Linked DNA regions of Elephas maximus indicus. The protein of the gene in region 1 purifies or fractionates together with the protein of each later gene. This does not show direct contact. Links are inferred from orthologs where the notes say so. Each region holds a gene or a part of one and is shown in the gene's direction. Other genes may lie near its edges. The genes, in order: PLEKHM1 and VPS39.

Region 1 (10,805 bases):
AGTCAGGCCATTAAGTCTGGTCTTTTTATGAGAATCCGAGGTCTGCATCCCACTGCTCTCCTGCTCCCTCAGGGGTTCTCTGTTGTGTTCCCTGTCAGGGCAGTCATCGGTGGTAGCCAGGCACCATCTAGTTCTTCTGGTCTCAGGCTGATGTAGTCTCTGGTTTATGTGGCCCTTTCTGTCTCTTGGGCTTGTAATGACCTTGTGTCCTTGGTGTTCTTCGTTCTCCTTTGATCCAGGTGGGTTGAGACCAATTGATGCATCTTAGATGGCTGCTTGCTAGCGTTTAAGACCCCAGATGCCACTCTTCAAAGTGGGATGCGGAATGTTTTCTTAATAGATTTTATTATACCAATTGACTTACATGTCCCCTGAAATCATGGTCCCCAAACCCCTGCCCCTGCTACACTGGCCTTCGAAACATTCAGTTTATTCAGAAAACTTCGCTTTTGGTTTAGTCCAGTTGTGCTGACCTCGCCTGTATTGTGTGCTGTCTTTCCCTTCACCTAAAGTAGTTCTTATCTACCATCTAATTAGTGAATACTCCTCTTCCTTTCTCCCTCCCTCCCCATCTCATAACCATCAAAGAATATTTTCCTCTCTGTTAAAACTATTTCTCAAGTTCTTATAATAGTTGTCTTATACAATATTTGTCCTTTTGCAACTAATTTCACTCAGCACAATGCCTTCCAGTTTCCTCCATGTTATGAAATGTTTCACAGATTCCTCACTGTTAATTGATGCGTAGTATTCCATTGTGTGAATATACCATAATTTACTTATCCATTCATCTGTTGATGGGGACCTTGGTTGCTTCCATCTTTTTGCTATTGTAAACAGTGCTGCAATAAACATGGGTGTGCATATTTCTGTTTGTGTAAAGGCTCTTATTTCTCTAGGGTATATTCCGAGGAGTGGGATTGCTGGATCGTATGGTAGTTCTATTTCTAGCTTTTTAAGAAAGCGCCAAATAGATTTCCATAGTGGTTGTACCATTTTACATTCCCATCAGCAGTGTATAAGTGTTCCAATCTCTCCACAGCCTCTCCAACATTAACTATTTTGTGTTTTTTGGATTAATGCCAGCCTTGTTGGAGTGAGACAAAATCTCATTGTAGTTTTGATCTGCATTTCTCTAATGGCTAATGATCGTGAGCCTTTCCTCATGTATCTGTTAGCTACCTAAATGTCTTCTTTAGTGAAGTGTCTATTCATATATTTTGCCCATTTTTTAATAGGGTTATTTGTCTTTTTGTAGTTGAGTTTTTGCAGTACCATGTAGATTTTAGAGATCAGGCGCTGATCAGAAATGTCATAGCTAAAAACTTTTAGGAATCTGTATCTTGAGCCTGTCTCCAGGGGATTCTGATGACTATGGTTCTCCTATTTCCACTTTGAATAACTCTGTTGTTGTTATTATCTATGGAGTCAGCTGCAACTCTTGGTGACTCTGGATACAACATAAAACATTGCCCCGTCCTGTGCCATCTTCCTGATAGTTGTCATGTCTGAGTCCATTGTTGTGGCCACCGTGTAGCACCTTCCGAGGTAGAGAGCTCATCTTCCAGCACTATATAGGACAACAATATTCTGTTGTGATCCATAAAACTTTCCTTGGCTAATTTTTGAAAGTAGATCACCAGGCCTTTCTTCCTTCTGTCTTAGTCTGGCAGCTCCACTGAAAGCTGTCCACCATGGATGATCCTACAGATATTTGAAATACCAGTGCAATAGCTTCCAGCATCATAGCTACCTGCAAGCCACCACAGTAAGACAAACTGACAGACCGGTGGTGGTGAGTAACTGTCCCCTTGCCTGCATCACCCTTTTTCCTACTCACCTGGAAGGCTCAGCTCAAAGTCAGCTACTCCAGGATACCATTCAGATTTCCGTCTCTGGTCCCAACGTTATCATCGCTCAAGTCACACTTGTTGTTGGCTGCGATGACATTGCTCCCCACGTCACACTAATGTGAGTTTCCCCCCGCTCCTCCATCTGGAGTCTACTCAGTGGGCGCACGGTCCATTTATACATTTTGTGTGTGTGTGTGGAAATGTGCACAATGTTTGTGCATCTTCCCTCCTCCCATCCCCGAGAATCCACTGCTTTATTCAGTGACACAAAGGGGTATGCGGTCCCAAAAGAGGGTAGAGCAAGATGAGAATAGTACCATAAGGTAGCAGACTCTGCCAAGAGGCCGGGGAGGCAAGACAAGAGACCACCGATTCCACAGGGTTCCTCACAGTCCTGCAGAGAGTGGATGTGGGGTGCAGGGGCAAGCAGTGGAATAATCGAGGACATTATGTCCTTTATCTGGGGGGAGAGCAAACTTGTACCAAGTCACCGATGCTCTCACGGGACCAATTATGCCAGAAACACTATCTGTTTGCCAAGGTAACTGAATTTCACAAGTAAATCTTACTTCCCACCTTGCTTAAAATTAGTTTAACACCAAGGGACTACTTTGTTTCTATGTCTTCACCTCTAATCTTGCTCAAACATCAACCACTAGTTCTCTGGAATGCACTCTGACCTATCCAGCTTCAAACAGAGGAGGGGTGGCTCTCACTCCTGGAAAGAGAATTACTCAAGGGGCAGTTCACTCCATGCAGTCGGGGGCCAGAACCCCAACTAAGACAGGGAGCAAAGACCCTGAGATGGGAGGGTGCCTGTTTGAGGAATACCAAAGAGATTGGTGTGGTTAGAGGAGAAGCAAGTAAAAGAGAGACAGGCTATACTATCAGGGAGGTAATAGGGGTTTGGGTGTGGAGCCTAGGGACTTATTAAGACAAGACAACAGAGGGCCCCCCAAATCTGGAAACAAAGCAACCAAGAAATTGGGCCCAGTCACAAAAATAAAGCCATTCCCCAGAACAATGGGGCAGGGTATCAGAAAATACCTGGAAGTTGTCTTTCAGAAGTAGCTGGAGAAAACCAGCCCCAAGGACATGCGCAGAACATCCACCTGTGACCGCTGTGTGACCTCCACCAGGGGCAGTGAGAAGCTGCAGCAGCAGCCAGGAGGCTGCGGAGACACGACACCCCATAATAAGTCCTGCTACGAATCCCAGGTGCCTGCGGGACAGGAGCCATCTTGGAAAGCTGCTGCGCACACACAGGCACCGAAGTTAACATATCCTTGCCTATGCCTGTGAATAAACATGAATCTTTTCCCACCCAAGAACATTTTTAATTTTTATGGTGCTTTAAGTGAAAGTTTACAAATCAGGTCAGTCTCTCATACAAAAATTTATATACACTCGTAATTGCTCTCCCCCTAATGAGACAGCCCGCTCCTTCCCTCCACTCTCTGTTTTCGTGTTCATTCTACTAGCTTCTGACCCCCTCTGCCCTCTCATCTCCCCTCCAGATAGGAGATGCTAACATAGTCTCATGTGTCTATTTGATCCAAGAAGCTCATTCTTCACCAGCATCTTTTTCTATCCCATTGACCAGTCCAATCCCTGTCTGAAGAGTTAGCTTTGGGAATGGTTCCTGTCTTGGGCTAACAGGAGGCCTGGGGGCCATGACCACCAGGGTCCTTCTAGTCTCAGTCAGACCATTAAGTCTGGTCTTTTTATGAGAATTTGGGATCTGCATCCCACTGCTCTCCTGCTCCCTCAGGGGTTCTCTGTTGTGTTCCCTGTCACGGCAGTCATCGGTTGTAGCCAGGCACCATCTAGTTCTTCTGGTCTCAGGCTGATGTAGTCTTTGGTTTATGTGGCCCTTTCTGTCTCTTGGGCTCATTTTAATTACCTTGTGTCCTTGTTCTTCATTCTCCTTTGATCCAGGTGGGTTAAGACCAATTGATTCATCTTAGATGGCTGCTTGCTAGCGTTTAAGACCCCTGACGCCCACTCTTCAAAGTGGGATGCAGAATGTTTTCTTAATAGATTTTACTATGCCAATTGACTTAGATGTCCCCTGAAACCATGGTTCCCAAACCCCCGACCCTGCTACGCTGGCCTTCAAAGCATTCAGTTTATTCAGGAAACTTCTTTGCTTTTGGTTCAGTCCAGTTGTGCTGACCTCTCCTATATTGTGTGTTGTCTTTCCCTTCACCTAAAGTAGTTCTTATCTACCATCTAATTAGTGAATACTCCTCTTCCTTTCTCCCTCCCTCCCCCCTCTCATAACCATCAAAGAATATTTTCCTCTCTGTTAAAACTATTTCTCAAGTTCTTATAATAGTGGTCTTATACAATATTTGTCCTTTTGCAGCTGACTAATTTCTCTCAGCATAATGCCTTCCACCGGCCCAAGAACTTTTAAAAACCCAGGCCCATCTTTTGTTCTGTGAGACGGGTGTATGCGTTGCTTTAGGCTCTCCTCATTTCCCCTTGCAAACCTCTTCAATACAGCTCTGCTCATGCGGAAAACTCTACATGCCTTACCTGCTCATTTTTGACCAGTGAGAGGCAAGAACCTTATTCCTGTAACACAACTGCAGCATTAGAGTGGAAGCAGGGGCTGGGACCCCGACCTCAGAAGTGTCAGAGTCACTTTCCTTCCAGGAGAGTCTGAGGGAGCATAGGACACCAGACAAGTTAGTGGAGCTCGCTTCCAAGAACTGGGTTGTTCCCTAAGCACCACTGTATGTCCTTAGGACTTGCATGTAGCAGCACTCCTCCCCCCTTTTCCCGCTCATATTCAGGCTCTCAGGCCCCCATTTGTCCAAGACATTCCCGGCTAAGGCGGCCCAGTTACCGGGCCCTGCGAGCACTTCGCTGCGATAGCTACTTTTTGATATTTTGTTCTGAGTCCATTTGAAAGAGAAATGTCACATTCTACGATGGAAAGAATAAACTTAATGGCTAGATGAGAATGAGCGGATCCTTGAGCTTCGTGCCACGCGGGACGGATGGGCGAAATACAGAAGAGTGCTCAGAGGACCTCAGGGCACTCCTGTGGCATAAGGTGTAGTCCTAACATGTATGTCTTTCCTGCGAACGTCTGGTGAAAAGATTCCCACTTGGGACCGCTCCGCACGCCGGGCTGCGCTGGTGCCCTCCGGGAGGCAACCGCAGGAGAAGTATTAAAAAGCAAAAGCCCAAACCCACTGCCGTCGAGTCAATTCCGACTCATAGCGACCCTATAGAACGGAGCAGAACGGCCCCATAGAGTTTCCAAGGAGCGCCTGGCGGATTCCAACTGCTGATCTCTTCGTTAGCAGCCGTAGCATTTAACCACTACAGCACCAGGGTTTCCAGGAGAAACAGTATTGGTACCATTTTTCAAGCGGGAAGCCTGAGGCTGTGGGAGGCAAAGTGACGGCTCCAAGGTGACGCAAATGGTGCTGAGGCCAAGCCAGGTCAGGGACCCAGAAGCCACGATCTGTCGCATACCCTGTGGGAACAGGGGCCCAGCACCAGTCTTGGGGTCCCATACCTCCACACCATGCCCCTACACTGGCTTCTGGGAACTGCCCCCGGAGGGAGCGGCTGACCCCGCCCCGCGGCCCTGCCGGACTCCATGATTGGCTCTGCGTGCCGGAGGCGGGGCCAGGGCGCCGTGCCAACGTGATGGCGTCAGACGTCGCTGGAGCTGCTTCCTGTTGTCAGTGGCCGGGAGGGCGCAGCTTCCGGTTAGAGGCTGAGGGGCTGCAGCGCCTGTGAGTGACCCTCGCCCCCTCCCCGCTCCCTTTGGTGAGTCAGGGGTCAGGGGGCGAGGAGGGCAGCTGAGGGGCGGCGGGGCGGAGACGCGAGCGGACGATGGGTCTCCCGCCCTCTCCGTGATCACAAACCCTGGCTGCTTCGAGACCGACTTCAGAGCCCCCTACCTTTCCCAGCCCAAGCCCCCCGCCCCGCCCGGTTCCCTGTCCGCCCCACTCTGACCCCAGCCTTCGGCCTCCATTGCCACTGCAGGGCCGTCCCCTCCATCTTCTCTCACCCGTGACCTGAACCCAGCTCTTACCCCCATCCTCTCACTGTCCATCTTGCGTAAATGCAGCGTCGCCCCAGACCCCACTCTAGCCCAATTCCAACCGCAATCTCAGCCACATTCCTCTGCCTCCCCCTAACACATCTCATCCTTACCCCTCAACCCCTCTGGCAATCCTCATTCACTACGCAAACCTCCCCCAGTTCACTATTTGGGATTTTCCTTTTGTGTTCAACTTTCTTATCCCAATCTGTCATACACCCTTTCTGTGCTCCCTGAGGTCTGCTTTCATTTAAGAACCACCACCGAAGTAGGCGCCCTCCTTGAGTGCACCCCTTTCTTCTTGATAATTATGATCATAGTCATTTCCCAGGTTTTATATGTATCTTGTTCTCACAGACTTGGTCTCTAACTCCTTAGTTCATACACTTTTTCACTTTATAACTCCAGTCGTCCTTCCACCTCCTACCATCCTGGAGGACACCCCATTCCCTAAGTCTTTGCTAAACTGCCCCCAACTCTTACTGCCCTGTTTCCTGCTAACCCTCATCCAATCTTCTCGAAAACCAAGTCTCTGTGTCCTTTCACCTCTGCTGTCCCCACCCCCATACTTCACACCCATTCTTCTCTTGACCCAGCCCACATTCAACTGCATCCCCTGCCAACCTCACCAGCTGCCCTTTGGCAGCCAAATCTAGGTGCTTGTTTAGAGCCAGGCAATTAGAGACTGAACAGCTTGAGTGGGTGTGTGCAGGGCCTCAGGTGGTAAATAAGTGTCAAGGAGTAGACCCCTCTGGAGTTGAAGTTTTTCTTAGTGCCTAATCCCCTGTACCTCTTCCCAGGGACATTGTTTCTAGCATTCATATTAAATTACTGATGCTGACTGCTGGAGTGGTAGGCATCATCGAAATACTTGGAAGGTGAGGGACAGTCACTCATCCAGCTCATTAGGCCTGGGGCGACAGAAGCCATCACTTCCTTTTGGCTGGTATTCTGGCCTTGAAAACCTCGGAGGGCCACTGTGTGAGGTTGGCCGTAGTCACAGAACCCAGTGTTTCTACCTGCCAGTGCTGATTGTAAGTCAGTCCCAACTCTGAACACAGGGGACATGATAGGTGCCAGGGGCAATGTTGTATGTTGTAAAGAGTATAAGTGAGTAGGTCCTGGGGAGGCTGAGACCTAGGTGGATACAGATACCACTGAATCGCTTCATTTTTTTGCAGGTGCTGGATCATTGAGTTTTGACTGTTTTAGGTCACTCATGACACAGGGAGCCAAGTTATCTCAGAGTAAATGAGGCAGAAAGACATCCTGAGGCACCCAGGCCCCATGCTCAGCATTTATAGTCTCCTGGAGCTTTTTGATGCACATCTTCTCCAAACTCTGATGGCCTGGCTTTAGAAGAGTTGGCCATCCTCATACAGTAATTTGAAAGGGCCCCCAAAAGAACCCATTGTCTTTGCTTACCGTTTTACTGTTATAGTCTGTGATTCCTCAAAAATCGAATGTGGTTCAGTATCCCCCCATTAAAGTGCAATATATCTACATGGTTTTCAGCCTTATCCACAGTTTGGTTTAATGGAAAAAGTAATGGTCTTAGTTCTCTAGTGCTGCTATAACAGAAATACCACAAGCGGGTGGCTTTAACAAACAAATTTATTCTCTCATAGTCTAGGAGGCTAGATGTCCGAATCCAGGGGGAGGCTTTCACTCTCTAGGGGACGGTCCTTGTCATCAATCTCCCCCTGCTCTAGGAGCTTCTAGGGACCCCGGGTCCAAAGGACATGTGCTCCTAGCTCATCTAGCTTGGTGGTAGTGAGCCCCTTTGTCTCTCTGCTTGCTTCTCTCTTTTATATCTCAGAAGAGATTGAAGATACAACCTAATCTTGTAGATCGAGTCCTGCCTTACTAACATAACTGCCTCTAATCCTACCTCATTAACATCATAGAGGTTAAGATTTACAACATATAGGAAAATCACATCAGGGAACAAAATTGTGGACAGTCACACAATTCTGGGGATCATGGCTTAGCCAAGATGACACACATTTTTGGGGGACACAATTCAATCCGTCACAGTAACATAATGGCCCCACCACTTACAAGTTGTATACCTTAACTTCCCACAGTCTATGAAATGGAAATAGTAATATTGCTCTGTGCTTTATTTTTATTTCATTCATTGATTCATTCATCAAGCATTTATTGAGCACATCATGCTTAGCAAAATACAGGGTCAGCAGAAAAGAGGAAGACCGTCAATGAGGTGGATTGACACAGTGGCTGCAACAATGAGCTCAAGCATAACAGCGATTGTAAGGATGGCTCAGGACCAGGCAGTGTTTCATTCTGTTGTGCATAGGGTCGCTATGAGTCAGAACCGACTTGACGGCACCAAACAAAAACAACTAACAACTACTGTGTGCCAGGCACTGTTCTAGGCACTGGAAATGCGATGGTGAATAAGTCAGGCAAAGTGTGCCTGTTTTCATTTATTCAGAATTTGGTCCTATCTAGAATCCTACAGGATATGGGTCAGGAATATGGGGGAAATGGGATTACTGGGTGGAAGGGAGGAGGGAGGAAAGAAAGATATGCGGTGTTCACCAACTTCATAGGTCTGTCCTGGCCCACTAGTCCTTGGTCTGAGAATCATAAGCTTCTAGAAGTTTCTTGCCGTATAGCTAGCATTGAATTGCAACAGAGTCCACCCTCATCCCCAACCCACACAGGGCAATTTTCTAAAAATCCAACTTGGATTTCTTCAGGTGGAAGGAAGGTGCTGTTTACTTACTCAGCGCTCATATGTCTGAAAGATCAACTGCCTTTCTGAATCAGATGACCTTGTCATTCTTTTCCATACTGACTACTTTGTCATTCCTTTCCAACTGAAAACAACATGAGTCATCTATTGGTACAGCAGCTGAGTGTCCTATGCCAGGCTGTTCTGAACCACCAGGTACTGGATTAGATTCAGCCGGTGCTGGCAAGGCTGTTGGGAGTGGCTGAGAAGTCTAAAGAGAAGAGCTTGCTGTTTACTGATTTGCGTTGAAAGCAGTGAAGCCAGTTTATCCATTTCTTCTTTTAATGTAAGTCTTCGTCTAAGCCATTATTTTCTCTTTGGTCTCCAGAGGAAGTGAGATTGGACATATACAGAAAGCCAAGCAGTATAATGAAGAAGAGGAAGCAGGACAGTTCCTTCCTAACTGTGTGCTAGAACATTTAAGAAAGGCAGCTCTGAAACTTGGGCACTGTGGAATGGACCTTGGCTCAGGTGATTGGGGCTACAGATCTGACTGGCAAGACGTGTTGGTTTTAGGCCTTGTTTGATGGTAGATAAAATGGAACTTCTGCATCTCTTAAAAAATCTGTAACTAACTTTTGCCTGAAATTCTTTGAGCCAGAGACCTGAGACGGTTTGATGTGCTGGAAAGAAACAGGACTTGGAATGCAGAAAGCAGAAAGTTCAGTCCCTTACCTGAGGGCCATTTCTACACAGCTTCGGTTTTCTTTCCTGTAAAATGGAAATAACCATCCTCCTTCCCAGGATTGTTCTAAGAATTAAATGAAGTTAGAGAATGAGATCAGAAAAGCTTGCTTTGCTCACTCCAGAGAGCTGTATAAGGAGAAATCGGTGCTCGGACTGGAAGTAGACAGAGCCTCTGTGTCACGTGATCTGGAGTTCTTAAAAGGGTAGAAACCACCTTCTCTCCACCTCAGACTTCCACTGTAATCTTTTGAGAGCAGTTTATGGTGTTGCCCAAGTTTTCCCATTACTCCCGTCATCGTAGAGGTTCCTTGAAGCTCTACCTCTCTTGATTTGGTATTTGGTTTGGGTGAAAAGTGCTTGAGGACAGGAAGCAAACTCAATCCCATACAATGGTAGATTTGAGGCCTGGCCCGTAGGATGATGGAGTGCTGACCCAGCAGTCAAGAGACCCAAAGCCCTGTTCTGGTTCCACTAGCAATTTCTTGTGTCCTGGATGGTCAGATTCCTGCCTCCGAGCTGGTTTCCTTCCTCTCTGAGGCGTTATGGAACAGATGTGAATACGTACGGTGACTTGGCTTCCTTCATAGAAAGGTATGCCCTGAATTGTGGCTTGAATCCCAAAGACTTAGTCCTGTTTTTGTGAATTGTCAAGTGACTGGCTTTCTTCCTGGATTCCTCTGAGCTATTGTCATTTTACGGCTTTCTGACACTGTTTGAGGAGACAGTTAATTGCCTGGCCCTGCTCTGACCTCTTAGCTTCAGTTTAATTTGGTTTAGCAGAGGGTTACTTGGCTGGAGCACTCATTGACTGCCCCCCCCCCCACAAAGAATATGCTGTTATTTTTTATGTATTTATTTTTTGACATTGGGAATATACACAGCAAAACATACACTGATTCAACAATTTCTGTATGTACAATTCAGTGACACTGATTACATTCTTAGACTTTTGTAACCATTCTCACCCTCCTTTTCCAAATTGTTCCTCCCGCCATTAACATAAACTCACCTCCCACTAAATTGCCTGTCTAATCTTTCTAGTTGCTATTGTCAGTTTGATCCCACATAGATAGTCCTTAAAAGAACACAATGCTCACGACAGACGTTCTTTACTGGTTAAGCTAAACGGTTGTTTGGTTTAAAGAATACTTCAGGGGTATTTTTGGTGTAAGGTTTAACGATTATCTCAGCAGTAGTTTCTGGGGTTAAGCATACTATATTATTCTTATTTAATTATAGGTCTTTGAGTCAGTTCATTCTGGTTTGAACCCCTGCTGATAAATTTGCATTTCCACCCCAGATATACTGAATCAGGATCTACAGTTTAATAAGATCCTCAGGTGATTCTTAAGCATAATAAATTTTGAGAACCACTGCTTTACTAGTGGTTCTCATAATTGGTCGCTAACCAGCAGTATTAGCATCACCTGGGAAC
Region 2 (11,329 bases), on another chromosome or scaffold:
TCTCATTTCCATTTTTGTTGTTATGTTTTCGTAATCTAGCTCCCATGTCCCCTGCTTACCTTTTCGTCATTGATCCAGGGTGAATGTTTTCCATTTGTTTCATTTAGATGATTTTTTTTTTTAGATGATTATTTAGAGGAGCACAGTAGTCAGGGGTGATAATTTATTTTGTGGGCCAATCTGTCATTTGGCTGCAAGGTGACCTCTGGGAGTGGTTTGAGTTCCAAGTTCAAAGGGTATCCCAGGGTGATAATCTTGCGGACTCATCTAGTCTCTACCAGCCAATATGGTTCTTAATCTTTTAGTATACCTCCATACGGTTTATCTACAAGGCTTCAAATGAAGTTTTATGTAAGAGTTGCAATCTGAGATCATGGGAACTAGTTTTAGACATGTTTGGAATATTAGGTTATTCCAGGACTTCTTAATTTCAGAAAGTCTTTTGGGAGCATCTTGCCTGATTTTAATTCCCTGTATTAGATAGGCTGCTATAAAAGTTGTTTGTTCATTTCCTGCTGACCTGCTGTGTGAAGCAGCATACAGTGTGAAATTCTTTAGCTGTTGAATTGAAATAATTAAAAACTCTACCATTCAGAGTTAAACCTGTCGACATAACACTGCGATGTGTTCTACATTTTCCATATCGTCTTGCAGTAATACATCTACAGCGCTCCATCTGGGGTCTTCTCTGCTGATTGTCTGCCTCAAGGCATCCCTTTGGCTTTAGGCCTCTAAACCAAAAACTCAAACCCCCTGCTGTCGAGTCCTGTGTGCAAATACTATGCAAGACTTTGTAATAATACCTAGTAAATACCAAGGGTTTTCTTTTTGAAAACTGAAAAAGAACAAATGACTTGTGAGGGAATAAATTGCCTAAAGGAGCAGGAATCAAAACTGCATCAGACTCTCATCCAGCAGCCTCGGAAAGGAGAAGATGCCAGAGCAGCGCTGTTGAATTCTGAGAAAAGTTATTTTCAGTGTAGAATTCTACACCCAGCCAAACTGTGAATAAAAGGGTTAAAAAAAAAGATGTTTTCAGAAACGCAAGAGGTAAAATAATTTATATCCTGTGCGTGCTTTCTCAGGAAAGTAGTGGAAAATGTTCTCCACAAAAACGAGGAAATCAACTAAGAAAGAGAATGGCATGGGATCCAGGAAGTAAGGGATCCAACATGAGAGAGCGCCAAGGATAATTCAAGGGGGGAAAAATGAAAACCACAGATTATCTGATGGGATTGATCATACTGAAAAGGGATTTATAGTTCAGTTTGAGTTTGGGATACATTTGTGATAGGTACTTGGCAAATGAAGCAAAGGAAAAGTGAAAAAAATACTCTAAGGTAAAAAATTTTGCAAGAAAGGAAATTATAATGGTAGTACATGTAATTTTCTTAACTGAATTTGGATATTGTACATAGTGTTTTATAGTCAAATGAAATTTTAATTAGTATATATTATTTCATTGTAAGCATATACTGTAGTTTGTTTATACGTCCCTATGTTTTTGGACATTTAGTTCTTTGTAATATTTTGCTATAACGCTGAGTGTTGCAGTGGACATGATTGTGGCTAAATCTTTGCCTACGTCCTTGAGTATTACTTCAAGATAAATTCCTAAATCAGAGGAGGTACATATTTTTATTAAAGCTTAATCTTAACTAAATTATTTATTTAATCATTTTAATTGCCTAAAATATATTTCTTTTAATTTGTGGTTTGAGGTTCAGAAGCCTAGAGATTTTGATTTAGTTGCTCTTCGCTGGGGCCTGTACATTTGTATGTTCTAAAACGTCAGTAGACAGTTAGGAACCATTGCTCTAAATATTGAATTAACATGAGCAAGGACTTGTGGAAAATAATACATGTGCATAGTCTACGTAGAAGATACTTGAAATGTGGCTAATTTTAACTAAACATTTCTTTTTCCCCTAGGAGCGAATGATCACACACTTTGAAAGGTCCAAAATGGAATAAAGAATAGGAAGAATTGCAATTGAAGATGGCTAGTATCAGGGAAGAGATCAGCTTCCGTGTCAGTCTTCCGCCACTGCTGTGTGGGGTTACTGGAGGCAACGACTTCCTGATCTGTTCCCTGATCTTGCTGCATTGGAGCTGGCGAGAGGTGTCAGAACAAGGAGAATCTTACCGAAAACAAGTTCATAGGATGGAAAAAATCTATAAGTTTCTGATTTCCAACATTGATACCCCTTCCCCTCCCACACCCTGACATGGATGTTTATGCAACTTATATGTGTTGTTCCTGAGCCCTCTATAATGTTTCAGTTGTTTAACCTGTCAAACTAAAAAGTTTAACGTCTTCTAAAGGACTGTGACATCAAGGTCATAATATGTAATCTCCAGGAACAACTGCCTGTGATTTTATTTATTTAGGAAGTTACATAGGTGATGGGGGAAATTGTTAATTATCTTTCAGTTTCCTGGGAAGCCAAGGTTACTTCTTGCAGAGATAGTTTTGAGAACAAAGGGCCCTTCTGAGTTAAGGAGCCACTGTTCTGTCAGTGATTAAAAGAACAGCAACAACAACAACAACAACGAAGCAAGAGAGACACTTACAGTGTGATTCAGATCCTTTAAAAAAGCAAAATCAAGTGCAATTTTGTTTACAAATGGTGTATATTAAAGATTTTTCTATTTCAGATGTAACTTAGAAATACTAGCTTAACTCCTTTGACATCTGCTATTGTGACATATCCCATTGCTGGCAATGTGGTGCACACTTGGGAACTTTTAACTACTGTTTTGTAAGCCTCCCAGGGCGGCGTTTTGGCATTCTAGGCGATGCTTTGTTTGCCTTCCTGCCGTTCACTGGGTGGTGCACTCCGTGCACAGAGGCACTCCATCTAAGTGCTTGTGAGCGAGCTCCCAGCTAGAGGAACTGTAATGCTTCAGAAATGGGAGCTTGGTCCAGAGGAAGCAGGTCCTTCTGGCTTAATTCACAGTTACTCCTGCATGCCGCCATGTGGAGGCCCTGGATGCTGCTTTTTCTTTAGGACTGGCTGTTTTTATATCTGGTGTTGGTTCAGAGACTAAGAAGCATTGCAAGGTGATGGGGTTTATTTGAAGCACTATATTTCTGTTTTAATGGTTTTCTCCAATTTTGCCTTCCCAAGATTTTTGTTCTACATAAAAAGTTCGTGCCACTTTTTAATATAAAAAATTTTAACAAAATTATTGTTTTTTCTCATTTTTTTTCAGACTTTATTCTGATAAACTTGTTCTCTCCAAAACTCTGCCTTGAGGGAATTTTTCTTCCATGGTTTTATTCTAGGTAGTCCTGTATTCTGTACAATCCAGTGACCATAATCGTCACTAACTCCCAGTGAAAGTCTGAATATTTATGTAGCATTTCTCTGTAGCTCCTCACTATGGTGATTAAAAAACAAAACACAGTACTTCTAAGGACTAACAGTATGAAGAACTGACTTCCATGCTAATCCATTGCCGTGGGTTGTTACTGTCAAACCACGTTGACAGTAACCCATGTTGTTGTCATGCGTACTTTTGTCTTGAATACTAAAACTTGGCAGGTGAGTAATAGTTATAATGCAGCAGTTTAGTTGGTTCAGATGTTTTTTAAGGATAGTTAGATGTTGAGTTGAGACTAGGAAAAAAAAAAAATCTGTATTCAGCAAGACCATATAGTATAAATTCTATAGGCTGAGGCCTGATAATTCTTTCTGCTCTCTTAAGACTTCCTGTGTTAATGGGATTGAATATGTGTCATTTCTTGGGGCAGGGCAGGTTCAGAAGGAATGCATAATTTCACCTTGACCTATTACCTTAGAGTTTACACTGTTTATTTTGTTCTTGGCTTTCGGCACTGGAACTAAAAATAGGCCTCCTTCTAGCACAGCAGTTGGCAATTTAAAATTTTCAAGAAGGTGATCAGCCTATCTGGTGAAAGTCAGCCATAACACAAGATTTGCTTAGCGGTTTTTGTGTTTCTGACTACTTTAAAATATGTCATTTGATTTTCAGATACAGCATTTGTAAAGGACATACCTGATGTTTTCCTGAAGGAGGCAGGGCTACCAGATACAGCTTATGCTTTCAAATTAAATTTAGTTTTTGTTTTTGTTATTTTTAAGTCTCCAGAGTAATACTGCGGTAAACTCAGTCTCTTATCGTCCTAAAAGCCTGGGGATATGAAGGTTGTAAGACACAGCTTGAGAGAGTTGAATTGGTGGGAGTGGGATCAGAAATTTTAAAAGGGTTAATTTTACTGTCTCCCAAGATTGCTGAATCAACTCTTGCTGCCTAGACCCCTGCTACTCAAAATGTAGTCCAGGGACCAGTGGCATCAGCAACACCTGGGCACTCGTTAGGAATGCTCAGTTGAGGGCCCTACTGGGGACCTGCTGAATTAGAATCTGCTTTTTAAACAAGAAGGAGCCCTGGTGGCACAGTGGTTAAAGTGCTTGGCTGCTAACCAGAGGGTGGTGGTTGGAATCCATCAGCCACTCTACAGGGAGAAAAGTGTGAAAGTCTGCTCTGGTAAAGATTCACAGTCTTGGAAACACTATGGGGCAGTACTACTCTGTCCTGTAGAGTTGTTAAGAGTCAGATTTGACTCCAGCAGTGGGTTTGGTTTGGTTTTAAACAAGATCACCAGGTGATCTGTATGCCCTTTAAGGTTTGAGAAGTATTGGCCTAGAACAGTGTTTCTCACCCAGGGATGATTTTGCCTCCACCCTGCCCTCCCCAGCAGAGGACACCTGGCAATGTCAGAAGACATGTTATAACCCCCTGGAGGGTGCTATTGGCATCTAGTGGGTAGAAGCCAGGGATGCTGCTAAACATCCCACAGTGCACAGAACAGACCCCCACAACAAAACAAGTATCCTGCCCTAAATACCAATAGTGCAGCAACTGAAGAACTGGCTAGAACAGTCCTTCTCAAGCTTTAGAGTGCATGGACTTACCTTGGGGGCTTATTAAAACAGATTGCTGGACCCCCAACTCCCAAGTTTCTGATTCAGTAGGGCTGGAGTGAGGCCTGAGACTACATTTCTAACAAAGTTCCCAGGTGATGCTGCTGCTGCTGCTGCTGCTGCTGCTGGTCTAAGGACCACACTATGAGAACCACTGCCCTAGAATGACATTCTAGTTAGAGTAATAATGACAATGCTAACAACCACCATTTATGGGGACCCCTGGTGGTACAGTGGTTAGGCATTCACTTGCTAACCAGAAGGTCGCAGTTGAATCCACCAGCCGCTCCTTGGAAACCCTATGGGACAGCTCTACTGCCCTACAGGGTCACTATGAGTCAGAATCGTCGCAATGGGAACGTAGCGTTTACTGAGTGCTTAAAGGGGTCAGGCCTCGCTAAATCGTAGGTACTTAGACTACCCTCATTTTGCAGGGTAGGAAACAGGCTGGAGAGATTAAATTTCCTGGAAGTCATGGCTAACTTTCTAAAGGGCAGGTCTTCCAAGTCTGACTGACGCCAAAACATGAATTCTTAGACCACCACGCTATGCTGCCCAAGGAAGTTCTAAGATTATTTCCTTCCTTGTTAAGCCCATGGCTACTCGGCCTCCCGCCAGAGAAACTCTGGGTCTAGGGCGACGACGGAAACAAGCCAGCACCCCTGCGGTCCTTGAGGATACGCCGGGAGCCGGGCGGAAGGGGCGGGCCCTCGACGGCGGAAAGGGCGGGCCTACGCCGGCCGGAAGTCTGGGGTTGATGATGGCTGTGTTGCAGCTGGGCCCGTAGTTGGGGGGTCCCTGGTCGGATCCCTGTCTGCCCTTGCCCAGTCCCGGCCCGGCCCCCTCGGGGTGAGACGGCGGCGGCGCCGACTCTCCTCGCCGCGATGCACGACGCGTTCGAGCCGGTGCCGATCCTAGAAAAGCTGCCTCTGCAGATCGACTGTCTCGCCGCCTGGGGTGAGCGGAGGGGTCACGGGCCGAGGCGGGGCCAGCGCGGGAGCGGCCCGGACCTTTCGCGAAGGCTGGGAAAGTGGACAGGCGTCTGGCTGTGTGGGCTCCGGTCGGTCGCTGTCCGAGAGGGCCTGGGACGAGGGAGGGCAGCGATGTGACCGGCTGTGGACAGGGAGGGCGGTGGGGGTGCTTGGGCGATTTCCAGTGCTCCAGGCATTTTAGGGACGTTTCACCCGCGCGCACCGTGCGGAGTTGGAGATGGAGCTTTCCTTATTAGTTGTACTCAGCTTTGATCCGTTTCAATTCCAAGAAGGCTTCAGTTTGGAGGGCCAGTGCATTGGGGAGTTCTCAGCCTGCCAGGGGCTTGGGCTTGTCCAGGTGATTGTGTTCTTTCCTAGGTGAAACACACTGGCCTTTTTTGTTCACTGAGCAAGTTAACACCAAATGCCTTATTTTCTTTCCCTCAGTGATCACTCATTGTTCACTTTTGGCTCCTGCAGGTAATTCACATCGTTACTTTAAATTCTTAACTAGCCAAGTGGTTGATTGCTCATATCCACAGAGCCCAAGTTACCTAACTGTAGGTAAAGAGCATTATTGCAGACTGTCATGAGACCTAGCCAATAAAAGCTTACATAATCCTTTTAGGATTGGCCAGTGCAGAAAGCAGGGTCAGGCATCTCTTGTGTGCCCTGGAATACAAATGAATGTTTCAGGAGTCCCAACCTTCACTCTTAACTATGAACACTGTGCTCTTTGAGTAGTTCTGTCTGATAACAGCCACCAGAGACCAAGCAGAAATTCAGTTTTTCCTGTTAATGTCCAAGTCCTAGAAATCAAGGACCATAAGAAGGAAGCTCAGAACCCATGGGATCTTATACTGAGCTAGGAACCCCCAATGGCCGTGGTGGTGGCCGGCATTGTATGCATTATCTGTTGCCTGTGGCACCCCGTCATCCTTGTGGAATTTTTCATGGCTTTTTCAGTAGGGCTCTTTCACCACAACATGTTAATGTTGCCTTTTTGAAATGAGACCTTCACAGAAAGACGTCCTAGTCTTTTGGATTAAGCAGAGACTCCTACTTAATCCAGACATCTCAAGAAGGTCTGTTTCCTGTCATTAAATGTTCTCAGTAAAATTTTAAAATAAGTAATGGAGAAAAAAAAAATAATAAGAGCCGACCCACTGCACAAAGGATTCATTTCCCTATTTCTTCATCAAGTATGTGTTGGGTCCCTTCAAGACCAATCTCTCTGCTAGGGTCAGGGATACAGGGATGAATAAGAAACAGTGCCTGTGCTCCTGGAACACAGTGGGGGACTCAGAAACGTGAACAGATTTTGATTCAAGATAAATGATACTAGATGCAGCCTGTTACAGGAGCACAAGGCCTAGGACATACGCTTCTGAAAACGATTGATGTAGCTGCTTATGACACCTGATTTAGCTTGTCAGAGTCCCAGCGTACATAGGAAATACTTCTTGAAAATTACTCATTATTGAGCGCCTTGACTCTGATACCCTATGGAACCATTAGTACAGGTATCTGTGAGCCTCCTTCACCACCTCTACTGTATCACAGTAAAGAGTCCCCGTACCTCTGCTTCTGAGGAACACAGTTTTGAAATGCCAGCGTCTGGCCTCACTTGATCCCCCACCGAAGAGGAGAAATGCCCTTTGCCTCCTAGGATGCTGTAGGAGGTATTGGGCTACAAGAGACCATTTACTGTCTCCTCCCTCAAAGCCCTGGTGGTACAATGATAAGGTGCTTGGCTGCTAACTGAAAAGGCTGGTGGTTCAGACCCACCCCATGGCTCTGCAGGAGAAAGACCTGGTGATCTGTTTCTATAAAGATTACAGCCAGGAAATCCCTCTGGAGCAGTTCTGCTCTGTCACATGGGGTCACTGTGAGTCAGAATCAACTCAGCAGCACCCAACAACAGCAACCTTAGAGCTACTTTATTTTCAGTCTGTAGCAGCCATAAATATTCTATTTTATTCTTGTCTAAATATTTCTGGTTTGCTATGAGTCAGAATCAACTTGACAGCAATGGGTTTGGTTTTTTTTTAATATTTCTGTTTCTAGTCATCACCCCTTTTATGGAAAGTTCATCAAGGAAACTCCAGGAGCCAGATCATGCAGGGCGAGACAATATTTGGGCTGGAAGGTGTCTTAGAGACACCAGAACTCACCTGGGAAATGGCAGTGAGGTGGGCACTGATGACGATGACAACTTTTCCCTAAACTCCAGACTTGTTTATCCAACTGCTTTTTCAGCATCTTCATTTGAATGTCTAATAGCATGGCCAAAACAGAATTCTTGATTCCACTCCCCCAAAACCTGTCTCTCCTGCAGTATCCCACGCCTCAGTGAATGGCTTTTCTATTTGGCTCAGGCGAAACACCTTGGAATCATTCTTGACTTCTCTCATTCTCTTATACACCACATCTAATCCATCAGCAAATCCTGCCAGCTCCACCTCCAGAATAAACCTAGAATCCAGTCTCTTCCCTCCGTCTCCACTATTACTACTCTTGATGAAGGCCCATCATCTCTCATCTGAGTTATTACAGTGGAGTCCTACTACTGTGTTTGCCTTGTGCTGTTTTCAGTGTTTTATCCACACAGAGATAGAATGATCCTTTGAAAACCTCAATCTGATCACATCTCTCCTCTGCTCAAAGTCCTCTGGTGGCTTCACATCACAACTCTACTTCCAGAGACCTTACTGTGGCTGACAATACCTGGCACGCTCAGGCCTGTGGTTACACCCCTCACTTTATCTCCTACACTTGTACCCTTTGCTCCTTCTGGTGCTGGTCACAGTCTTCCTGTTGTTCCATGAACACACAAAGCACATATATACCTCAGGACCTTTGCACTTGCTGTATCCATCCTCTGCTTGGAACTCTCGTGCCCTAGATACCACATGGTTCCTTCCTCATGTCATTCAGGTCTCTGCTGAGATGTCACCTAAGTCAGTGAGACCTTCCCTAACTACCCTGGGTAAAAGAGGGTGTCATATCCACCAATGCTGTATTCCCTTACCAAGCCTTACCTTTCTTATCATGATCACCACCCAGTGTTATGTTATCTCTCTGTGTATTGTTTTTTTCACACCACATTAGAATATAAGTTTTTTCAGAGAAGGAACTTGGTCTTGTACATTGCCGTATCTGAAATGCTTAGGATAGTTCTTGACGCACAGCTGGGTATTGTTAAATAGATTCTTAATTAAGAGTAAAAATGATACTAATAGTAATAGCTTTGATTTATTGAGTACCAATCTGTATTTGGCCTTGTGCTAAGTGCTTTAATGGAATAATAACAATGCCATTTTATAGAGGAAGAACCTGAAGCTTGGAGAAGTTAGATAATCTTTGTAAAGTCACAGACCCAGTAAATCACGTCTGATTTCAGAATCTGGTTTATATACTTTAGTGTACACCAGAGCCTGTAAAAAATGCAGGTTTGTGAGTGTGTTTAGTACGTGAGTATACACACGCATTTACTTGTATTTTTTTTAAAAAAAAAAGGGAAGGATAAACCAGTCATGACTAAAATGATTACCTGTAGCAGAAGGGAAGTGACAGGGTGAAGTAACAAGGAGGGAAGCTAAGACTTCTCATAGTTTTAGCTTTGGAACTGCATAAATGGTTCATATAAACATTAAAAAAACAAAGTAAAAATTAAAAATGTAGATTTCAAGACACCGCCTCAGAGTCTGTGAATCAGAATCTCTGGGAGCAGGGCTCAGGACGGTGCGTTTTTAATTAGTCCAGGTGATTCTGATGCCCCTAGTCAGGGGTTTATGCTTTGAGAAACACTGTCTGCCGTACAACCCCGAGAAGGAAAGTGACCAGTACCGTATTCATCTATGTACTGCTGCAGTGGCCTGCATGGGGCCAGGAATGAATTGGTTGTTATAGGAGGGCCTTGCACTGTTGGATGGAGCTTCAGTACGGTAACTATGAGCAAGAAGGCCCAGCCTTACTTCCCAGGAGGGACCAAGTCCAACCTTGTGGCTCAGGATTAGGTCTCCAGGAGTTTTCTAGGGCTGTCTCTGTTTCTTTATGTGTGTTACCCATTTGCATAGGGTGTTCCACCTTCTGGTATGCAGTACTGGCTCCAAGAAGGGACTGTCCACCCTGTGCTGTACCTGCTCTGCAAGCTTGTCCTTCTCTGTTGTGTATGCGCAGCTGTGTTACATGATGACATGTCATCGAGACTGGAGGGCCCAACCCGGCTCAGGACCTCTGGCTGCCTGAGCCTCCACTGACTTCTGTAACCCAGGCATACCTCTTCAGGGCTCCATGTCATTGGAACTTCTGGATGACACACTGTTTTTCCTTAGACATTTGCGGATTAGTTTGAAGATGAGTATGTATGTTGTGTTTCTACTCTTTAAAAGAAATAATTATAAATAATTTGCATTATGATAAATATATTTTTCCTCAGCACCACCAAATGACAGCTTGAGAAGGGTCAAATAAATTTTCAATTAAAATTTTTTTTTTTTTTTTTTTAAGTTTCAGTAGATTGAGTCTATCTGCTTCCCTTTTAGGGCCAGTACAGTAGACATTTGATAAGAAACAATCAATGGCAAATAAACATTTTTTAAAAATGGAATGTCATGCTTAGGAGTCTGACTTCATTTTGGGGTGCTGCAGCCTCATGAGGATTTTCTGAGGCCACTGTGACAGCATCAGAGCTGTGTTCCAGGGTGACTGGCAGCAGAAGCAGAAGAATGCAGAGACCTGTCAGGTTGCTGACACGGGGGACCGTGGCAAGACCAAGGGGTCGCTGTTGTGAGGTACCTTGTGGAGGTAAAATTAATAGACTTTGGCAGACCTGGGAGGAAACTGAGGCTGTTAAAGGAGGCAGAGAAAAACAGGAACTGGCAGGAGTTTTGAGGGTAGTGGAGCGGGGAGGACGGGAAAGATGGTGAACTTCATGTTTGCCTTTTGTTTGGCAAACAATTTGTATAGATTTTTGTGTATATTATAAGTGAGTTTTTTTAAAGATTTCTACTTTTATTTATTTCTGAAATACCATTGGGTATCCTGAAAAATCAACTTGAATATTGCCAGTTGCTCAATACAGTGATATTTATAACTCCTTTTGTTCCATTTCATGTTTGACAATCTCCAATTTTCCTAGATTTGTACTTCCTATGTTCCAGGTTCCGATTATTACTGGATCTAGGGAAGTTGGAAATCATCAAACATGAAATGGAACGCATAAACATCGATATCCTAGGCATTAGGGAGCTGAGATGGACTGGTATTGGCCATTTTGAATCAGACAACCATATAATCTACTATGCTGGGGATGACAACTTGAAGAGGAATGGTGTGTTCAATTCGTCGTCAAAAAGAACATTTCAAGATCTATCCTGAAGTACAGTGCTGTCAGTGATAGGA

Evidence for each region.
Region 2: the proteins of PLEKHM1 (region 1) and VPS39 purify together in Homo sapiens (co-immunoprecipitation; 3 studies listed by BioGRID and IntAct, with this or other methods). This does not show direct contact. The link is inferred for Elephas maximus indicus from reciprocal best matches to the Homo sapiens genes PLEKHM1 and VPS39.

The regions. Positions count from the first base shown.
Region 1 is NC_064837.1:51,819,891-51,830,695, reverse strand, and holds the start of PLEKHM1 (pleckstrin homology domain-containing family M member 1), read left to right. Parts: upstream 1-5,526; 5' UTR 5,527-5,611; exon of another isoform or gene 5,612-5,645; intron 5,646-8,753; exon of another isoform or gene 8,754-9,154; intron 9,155-10,805. UniProt on the Homo sapiens protein: Acts as a multivalent adapter protein that regulates Rab7-dependent and HOPS complex-dependent fusion events in the endolysosomal system and couples autophagic and the endocytic trafficking pathways.
Region 2 is NC_064828.1:13,766,130-13,777,458, forward strand, and holds the start of VPS39 (vam6/Vps39-like protein), read left to right. Parts: upstream 1-5,686; 5' UTR 5,687-5,836; coding exon 5,837-5,909; intron 5,910-11,329. Other genes in the region: TMEM87A (transmembrane protein 87A), read left to right, coding at 1,933-1,974. UniProt on the Homo sapiens protein: Regulator of TGF-beta/activin signaling, inhibiting SMAD3- and activating SMAD2-dependent transcription.